Oryzias latipes: one gene and its partner. The protein of the gene in region 1 interacts with the protein of each later gene in a pairwise test. Links are inferred from orthologs where the notes say so. Each region holds a gene or a part of one and is shown on either strand. Other genes may lie near its edges.

Region 1 (4,351 bases):
ACTGGGCTGCAAAACTGCTCCTTATTACTTCCAGTGAACTATCATTCAGCTTCATAAAAAGAAAAAAACAACAACAACACAGGTACTTAGTATTTTTGCCCACAATTTAGGTGCTGTGCTGACCCAAATTAAGTAATACACCATAGTCACTTATCATTAGTAGTTTAATAAATTAAATACTTTCAAAAGGACTTCATGCAATTTATGTACCGTAGTTATTATACCCTCCACTTTTGTTTTTTTCAGGCAAACGTTTTGCTCCATTTTACTAACAACTTAGGGTTCCATTTGACCATTTTTAGACACTTCTAAACAACTTTTAGCTAAAATCACATAATTTTTCCAAAACATCAAAAGTACTTTACTTTATACCTGTACATGCTGGTGTTTTGTCCTCTGAGCCCATTTTGGATGAATTTTAACCCGTGTTTATATATATGGATTGTAGATCTACCAGTATTGGAAATATCATAAGAATTGTGTTTGTCTTTATTTTTATTGGTACAATGCGCACAGAGTGCAAAAACAGACCATGTCTTTGTCACAAGAACTGGCTATCTCCATCACATTAGTACCAGGTTCATGCAGAGTTCACGCTGATTTGATAATAAATAAGACTAAAGTTCAATTTTCAATCTAAATGGCCTACATTAGGATATTTTTGGTTTAAGTCAATATTGACTTCAAACATATTGTGAATGTTTATAGTTTTGACAGTATTGGAGGGTCATAATAATCTTACATACTATCTAAATCAAAAGTTTGTTTTGACGTTTCTCTGTAAACTTTATTTTAAGAGGTAACACAATTTGTGAAGAAAAAATAGTGAAAATCCTGTTTGAGTTAACTCCCTATCGTGAATAAAAAGTATTTGGACAAAATATTTTACCTTTCTTGGTCATTCTATGACATTTTACATTGTAATACAGTCATGGGGATATGAGGGTTGAAGAACCTTTAGTCCAATGACATAACATAAAGTGACCAGAAGGGGCCGCTATACACTAAACAAAACTTGAAGCAGTTATATCTATATGACGCAAGTCGGTGACTTTTATGAGTTTATTGAATAGTTGATTTGAATAAAAGTTATCTTATTAAATCCCAGCGGTAGTTATTTCTTTCATAGATCATAACTTTTACATGATAACCACTGATATGTTGTGCAACAGTTATCTCTACCATTGTAAAACTGCTGCATCTGAGCCCAGTTGGCCCAACGCGCATGCTCACTGAGTGCTTCCCTTCATTCTCATAGGCCGTCGTGAGTGGGCCGACCCCAGCGGGCGGGCCACCAGCTCCCTAACGTTTACCAGCCTTGGCTGAGGCAATATTTCCCGAAAGTCCGGTGCCGCTGTGACGGGCCCCTTGTGGCGTTTGGTTGCTCATCATTTTATCTAAAAAAATTTGGATTATCACTACTATTTCTCCGTCTTTGGGCGTTTAAGCTGCGGGACAATGATGGAGATGGGAGATTCCAACCAGGTAAACATAAATATACATTTTATTTTTATTAGAGATCGGACAATTATAGTTTCACAGTAATCTTTAAAGAAATTTGGACTTCGCGCTGTGTTTCATATATATTCAGTTTCTATAACAGGCTTTTATTGCGAAAACAAAAATGTTGTGAGGATGTTTTGCGTCAACCTGTCTCTTAAGCTAGCTACTCACTCAGCTGATGGCTCTGGATATTTAAGATTATTTTCTGAAAGTTGTCAGTCTTTCACATTCATTGACTTACAAAACTCAGATCTTGTTATTGTAATGCATGATTCTATAACATGTAGCCTTTTTTTCTCTCAAAGTTGGGTGAAGTTTTGTATAAACAGATTGGAATCTTGCTTCCTTATGACTGGCCCTCCAACGCCATCCCATAACTAGAACTACTAGCATGTGATTCCGTGTCTAATGCAGTGAAGTCTTTTATAACCAATGTGAAACTGTTAGAGTAGCGATTTGCTTGTATCTTCCTTAAAACATAACATTAGCATCTGCTTTCGCTCTTCCCCTTTTTGGTGTCACATGATATAGAACCACAGCTTGAGGTCGCTCGTGTTTTTTTCATGTAAATATAAATTAAGCTAATAATATCAAGGAATTGAGGTTAGCTTAATTTTTTGTTGTTGCTGTGTTTGGTTTAACGTTCCCCCGAAATGACTAAGTTTAGCTATGTTTTAGGTTCTTCAAAAGTTGTGTCGTTACTGTCTGTCTGGTTTTCCATACAAATACAAATTAAGCTAATAATAATCAATATAGGAATTAAGTTAGTTTACGTAATATCCGCTGCTTTTGGTTCAACGCCCCCCTGAAAGACTCATTCAGCCATGTTTTAAGTTTTGTAAAAGCTGTGTGTCGTCATTGCCAGAACATAATGTTATAAGTTTGTGTAATATAAACACAAGTTCCCTTTTACTCGACTTTGTTTACATTAAAGTAGGCATACATTGCAGGAGTTATCAATGATTTCGGTTGGTCTTGGTACATTCCGTTTCTATTTTAGAAGTAGTACATGATGGTTGTGTTGGTTTAGCTGCTCACCGCCTGCGTATTATCTGGGAAATTTGAGAATGTTCCCGTGTTAAGCTTCCTTGTTCACGTGCCAGTCAGACTGTGGTGAATCAAGGTCACGGTGTCGGAAGAAAAAAACAAAACAAAACAAAGAAATGCACACACCAACTGTTTGTCTGCTTAATCTATACCATCTAAAGATTTTTAAGATGTTATTATATGTAGTCCTTCTGAATCTACAGTTGGTTTTTGGAAAAATGAATTGTGTTGAACGCTTGATTGTATTTTTACATTGTATTTATTGGATTTTTAAGAAAGCTGTCAAACTGGTTTCAGAATGTGCTTCTTTTCTAGTCGTTTTTTTTTTCCCTTTTCTTTAATTCAGGTGTGGTCACAACAGTGTTAGGGGGTCTGCAGCATTTTAGGGAACTTCCTCATTCCTATAGCCACCATAATTCCTGGTTTTGGGCTTCTACACTCTTTGCCATGATTTATGCTCACCAGCCTTAGTAATGAGTAATGCTTTAATGGTCCAGCTTCTGATGCAACACTCAAGCACAGACTTAGTGGGTTCTTATTTTGCTTTGCCGCTGTCTCAAAGTCTGTGTCAACAGTGACCAAAATATTTTCCCGTTTGTTAATGATTATTTATGCTGCATGTCTTTTCTTTTAGGTAAAAAAAAGAGAATTGTTGATATTGTTCAGTGCAGTTTCACAGCCTGTTAGTGGATTGTTTTAATGTCTGCTTTTTGTTCCTTTTTTCTAGTTTTTTTTGGTTGTTTCAGTCTGCGAAAACCACAAAACAGAATATTATAAAGCTCATATGCTACTTTCATAGGAATTTGGGGGAGAAAAAAAAAGTCATATGGTCTGGTGGTTTTTTTCTGTGGAAGAGTATCTTGGGTTTATGCAATATCCTGAGGCCTTATGAAATAGTTTTCTTCTGTAAATAAATTATGGTGAAAAAAAATCCCTAAGAGCGTAGCATAATTTGTCTTTAAGAGTGTTGTTTGAAAGTTAAGTAACATTTGAGTCTGTGAGAGCAATTTGAAAGGAAATGGTTAGAAAACATTTTCATGCTTATTTCTATGTAAACCCAGAATTCAAAATGGACTTTTGTTTTGCAAACTTGTCCAGAGATTACCGTAGCTGTCCACAGACATGGATGGAACAAAGTTTATATCATGTCTAACGTTCAACCCTTACACTCCTGCAATGTTTACCCTAAACTTTATGAAGTTATTTGTGTAACATTTTTTCTTTCCAGATCATGCTATACATGTACGATCACTCATTCTTATTCTTATCTTATAAAGGCTACCAAATAAAAGCACTTGAGGCTAGTTTACCAGAGTGAAATTTAATCTGATCATTGAGACCTTACCTGACTGTCCGGGAGATTAAACGAGACAAAAGAATTCACACTTTGGAGTAATGAGATGGGTATACGTGTCAAATTGGGATTCTGCTTGTGTGTGGCGGCAACAAGGGAAACAGAGAAGCATGTTTATTATTCATAGCCATTCTCCCTCGTGACATTAACTCCAGTGTTGCTGTGAGCGAACAGATACGGAGGGGACAGGGTGTGGCAGGTGCAAAAGCCATGTTTCACAGCAGGGACAATAATTCTCCTTTCAGCACTAAGCGTATTCTCTCTGCAGGAGTGCACAATGGCTTCCAACTCTTTTGTTTGCGGTTGTTTTTTCAGGACCTGGACTTGATTGACATACTTTGGAAGCAGGACATCGACCTCGGTGCCAGGCGAGAGGTTTTCGACTACAACCATCGGCAGAAGGAGCACGAGCTGCAGCGGCAGCGCCAGTTGGAGGAAGAAAAGAAG
Region 2 (4,556 bases), on another chromosome or scaffold:
TTTGTCATGACCGAAAGCTTATGACCACGAGTGAAAGTAGGAATTTAGACTCGGTTCCTAATCCAGTACAACAGATCGATACAGCGACCACATTGAACAAATGCTGCACCTCTCTGCCTGTCAATCTCACACTCCATCCTTCTCTCATTTGTAACCAAGATACTCAAACTCCTCCACACGGACACCTTTACCTGCTTATCCACGGAAGACAAACCACCTTTTTGCAACTGAGAACCACAACATCCACCTTGGAGATGCTAATACTCATACTGGCAGCCTCACACTTTACTCCAAGCCGCCCCAGTCCACACTGGAGGTTGGATGAAGTAAACTGAATAACATCATCTGCAAAATAAAAATAAAAAAGCAGAGATGAAATCATGTGGTCTTCAAACTGGACTGTCTCTGGCCCCTGACTGTTCCTAGAACCATGACTAAGGACATGTCCAACATGAAAATAGGTTCCACATAATACTGGCATTACAAACCAAACTCCTGCTTTAGTTGTACAGTGACCAGACTTCTTTGTGAGCTCCAGACCCAGATTTTCAGATCTCCTTCTACAGAACATAGCAAAGAAAAAGATTGAACACTGTCTTAAACTCCACAAAGCATGTGTGGATTGGATGGGCGAACTCAGATGAACCCTCAAGCACCCTGTGCAAAGTTCCTCTTTTTGAACAGAGGGACCATCACCGCACTCTGCCAGTCCAGACGCACTGTTCCCACCACTGTGGGTAGCTGCACAGGAATGTCACCAAATAACACATCCCAACTTCCAGACTTCCAACCTCTGCTTCCTTAAGGGAAGGTGTGTCAGTGCGATTCAGTACATCCTAAAATTTATCCTTACTCCTTTCAAGAACGTGTTCAGTTGGATTCAACAGCTCAGCTCCTTCACTGTAGACTGCGTTGGCAGATACATTTCCGTGTCAAATGTAAATCTATGACCAAAACACCAGAAAGCCGTGTGTAAAATGGGTTTTAATGTAATGAAAATCACACAATTATCTTTAAAACAGTGAATTTAAAGACCGATATTTTACTTTGATTTTAGTGTTCATATGGGATTTTCAGCTGTTAGAATTGTTGGTGTGTCGGGGGGGGGGGGTTATTTTCTAATCTTTTAACAACTTTTTCTCATTTTGGTTGATGATAAATGCGATGCTTGTATTTTAAGTCAGCTTCACATTTGGCTGCGTTTCCACCTGGGTGAAGGTTTTTGTTCTGCATTTACTTTCAGTTGCATTTCTGCCGAACATGCAAGGATCTGGTGGAGTGACTCTCCAGTTGCAGTGAGTAACTCCGGGGCCCTGCCTTCTCCCAAAAATAAACAGCATATCAAAGAGCTGTGTGTTCATGCATCAGCGATAAATGCAAAGCTGACTTGTATTCACTACAGAGTTGCTGCTTTCTGCAATCTGAGTGTGCTTTTTTCCAAGCAGATGGATTTTTTTTTCTGCCCTGGCTGAAGATGTGCCACCCTCTACTCTTCCTCCAGCGCAGCACATTTGGTGGGATATTATATGAGGGAAATGGAGTGCATGCTTGAATTGTGAGTCATGCTGTTTACTGGTAAAACCGACGATCAGCAGCAGGGAATCACACCCTCCTGATCTGGTGTTTCCTGGAAAATCCCGCTGTTTCACAGGGAGGAAGGAAAAGTACAGAGAACCTTGGAAGTGGTTCTGGAGCAGCAGCCGGAACTTTGGTGCGGAAAAGGGAGGAGGACTCCAAAGATATTCTCCCAGACGCAAGGATTCAAAGAAATGTCAAGAATGCATGGAGGGGGGGAAAAAATGACATTACAGCTCAGATTTTGCTATAATTGGGGGGGGGGTTGCATAACATTTTGGAGCTATTTGTATTGATGCCAAAATGCACAAATGAGAACAAAATTATTCCAAATCCATCCTCTATGTCTGAGTCCAGGACCAGCAGCTGCTGGAGATCTGATCACTACAGATTTTCTTGCAAAGGCAGTGAAGCCGTCAGATTGGATTGAAGGCAGACCTCTTCACACGCCCATCTTAAAATATATCTATAAGCTTGGCACAGTCAAACCGCAGGTTTCCAAAATCAATAATCAACAGTTGACCCTTTCTTTCCAGTAAAAAGAGCGAAAACCATCACAGAAAATGTGTTCCCTGTGACTCATCTTGTCTGAAACCTCAAACATTTCACTTTCACAACACTCTTACCACAAAAACATTTCACTCTCCGCTCCGTTTGTGTCCACTGAGTGACCAGCGATATAGTCAAAACAGAGCGAATAAATTCAGCTTTCCGTGTTTAGGAAGTGGGAATCCTCTGAAAACCAGTCAGCTGCTGCTACTTCTCCATCCAAAAAAGTCCTCATCACTTTAGTGACTGAAGCACACATTCATCTCATGATAAGAGGCGTGAGCTCTCACTGCCTGAAGGGGGGAACAATCAAGAGATCGGTGACAGGTCTGATTGGAACACAAGTATTTATAATTAAAACTGAAAAAGGAAAGAAAAAAGTGATAATGGAAAATTTAGACTTGGAAGCAGCAGGAATCATGAGGTCATTGCTCCCATTGTCTTATCTTTGCACAAGATTTCTGCTGACTAGAACCGAACACACAGATAAGATAAAGCTCTTTTCATCCATCAGGGTGATTCATGTTTGTAAAAATATTTGCTTTCTCCTCCTTTTGGGACCACTCAACTCGGGTGGTCTTTGGTGCCCTTTGTCCCACATGTCTAAAACTCAGACCACGTGTTGAATCTAATGTCATGGCATCTTGTAAAGCGCTCGTCCTATTTCCAGTGTCAGAACTAAATCTGGAGGGAATTTCAAGCGGGAAATGTTTCACTTCCATTTTCTCCAAAAGTTCATCTAAAGAAAAACGTGAAAGGTGGTTGAGTAATGATGGACTCAAAGGGTTTTGTAATCTTTACATAAGCACTTTACAGCCCTTTACTAAATAACTTTATTTTACTTTTTATTGAGCGAAAATTTTTTTGATCACTACAGTGTTGGATTAACAAAATAAAACGAACTTTTTAGCCTATAGCAAACGGGAAAACATTATTTTTTCAATTAAAAAATGATAATAAATTTGATTAAGCAGGCAAAACAAACAAAAATAACAATCAGAATATTATATCTATATATTTGCCCTCCGATTTTTTTGTTTTCAGACTCCAACATAGCACGTGTCGCGCGTATCCAGGTCCCAAATAGGGCTTTCTAACTGCTGCGTGGCCCGCATTACGCCTGGCTCTGACATGTCACCATGAGAACTTGGCCAATTTGTCAACAGATCTTCCAGAAAAAAAGAACAAAATAAGAAATAAAATAAAATGAAAAAACGAAAGAAGAAGTATCATCAAACAGCCTCACCTCTGTGGACGCGCGTCCGTAAACAGGAATGCGTAAAAGTCGCAGAATCTGCGTCCAAAGGAGGCGAAGTAGAAACTTGACCCGGTTGGTGTAAAGCGTCCGGCGGAGCCCGGGCAGCAGCGGATCCTCGTACTAAATTAACTACAAAACAACAACAATGAAGCACATTCCACGCTCTGCTTCCGCAAGCACTCACGTCACTGATTCCTCGTGACCGCCCCCTCCATTCATGAAAATAACTTTCTGCTGACGTCAGTCTGCGAGGTGGGGATGGGGGGGGTTGGAGGCCAGAAATAGAAAATAGATTGAGACTGCATTTGCTTACTTTACAAAACTTATCCAACTCTGCTCTGGTCTGATAGCAGAGACGTTTCTAGTGAAGGTCCGGGTCTTCTGCGCGCTGCTGCGCCTTTTCTCCTTTGGAGAAGCTAGTCTCTATATCCACGTCTGCGCTTAAGGTGCTCAGACAGACAGACATGCGATTTGGCTGAAGGAAAACGGACTCTGGGAGCAGCAGCAGCTGCATTCCATTCCCGAGGAAAGAATGTGGTGTAGTAGTCCGGCGGTCACAGGATTTCTCTTATTTTAATTCCAGCCAGTAACGTCACAAGTTATTCTGGGTAATTAAGAAGTGAATTGAAACGTGTTGGAGGAAAAACCTTTAAAGGCCTGTTTATGCTGGTTGGACAGTTTTAACTTTAGGAAACAAAGATTGCGTTGGAGAAATACTATTATTGAACCATTTCCTCCTAGAAAAACGTTAAAAACACACACACAGTATAGCACAAGATGGTATAGAACATGTATAAAGTGTAGCTGAGCGTGGTATAGAATTTTTTTAAAAAGTAGACCATAGTATAGTATACTATAAGATGGCATAGTATAGAATAGTGTTGTTCAGTAAATTAAAAGAAAGTATAAAGTAAAGTATAGGAAAACAGACTATAGTTTGTTATAATACTATAAATCATGTAATAGCAAAGTACACTATATTATTTTGAGGCACAGTTTAGTATAGAATAGTATAATAAAATGCAGAATGACATAGTACAATATAAAAATATATTTCAATAAAGTACAGTATAATAGATTAAATATAATACACATTACAAACGTATAGTTTTGACAGTATAATATAGAACAATACAGTGTAGTAGAGTAAAATAGTACAGTAGTATATAGCATA

What was found.
Region 2: the proteins of nfe2l2 (region 1) and mafk interact in binary tests that used the Homo sapiens proteins (3 or more experiments, as listed by UniProt). The link is inferred for Oryzias latipes from reciprocal best matches to the Homo sapiens genes NFE2L2 and MAFK.

Annotation. Positions count from the first base shown.
Region 1 is NC_019879.2:22,682,216-22,686,566, reverse strand, and holds the start of nfe2l2 (nuclear factor erythroid 2-related factor 2), read left to right. Parts: upstream 1-1,289; 5' UTR 1,290-1,458; coding exon 1,459-1,485; intron 1,486-4,219; coding exon 4,220-4,351.
Region 2 is NC_019866.2:7,342,076-7,346,631, forward strand, and holds the start of mafk (transcription factor MafK), read right to left. Parts: upstream 3,052-4,556; 5' UTR 2,213-3,051; coding exon 2,202-2,212; intron 1-2,201. UniProt on the Homo sapiens protein: Since they lack a putative transactivation domain, the small Mafs behave as transcriptional repressors when they dimerize among themselves.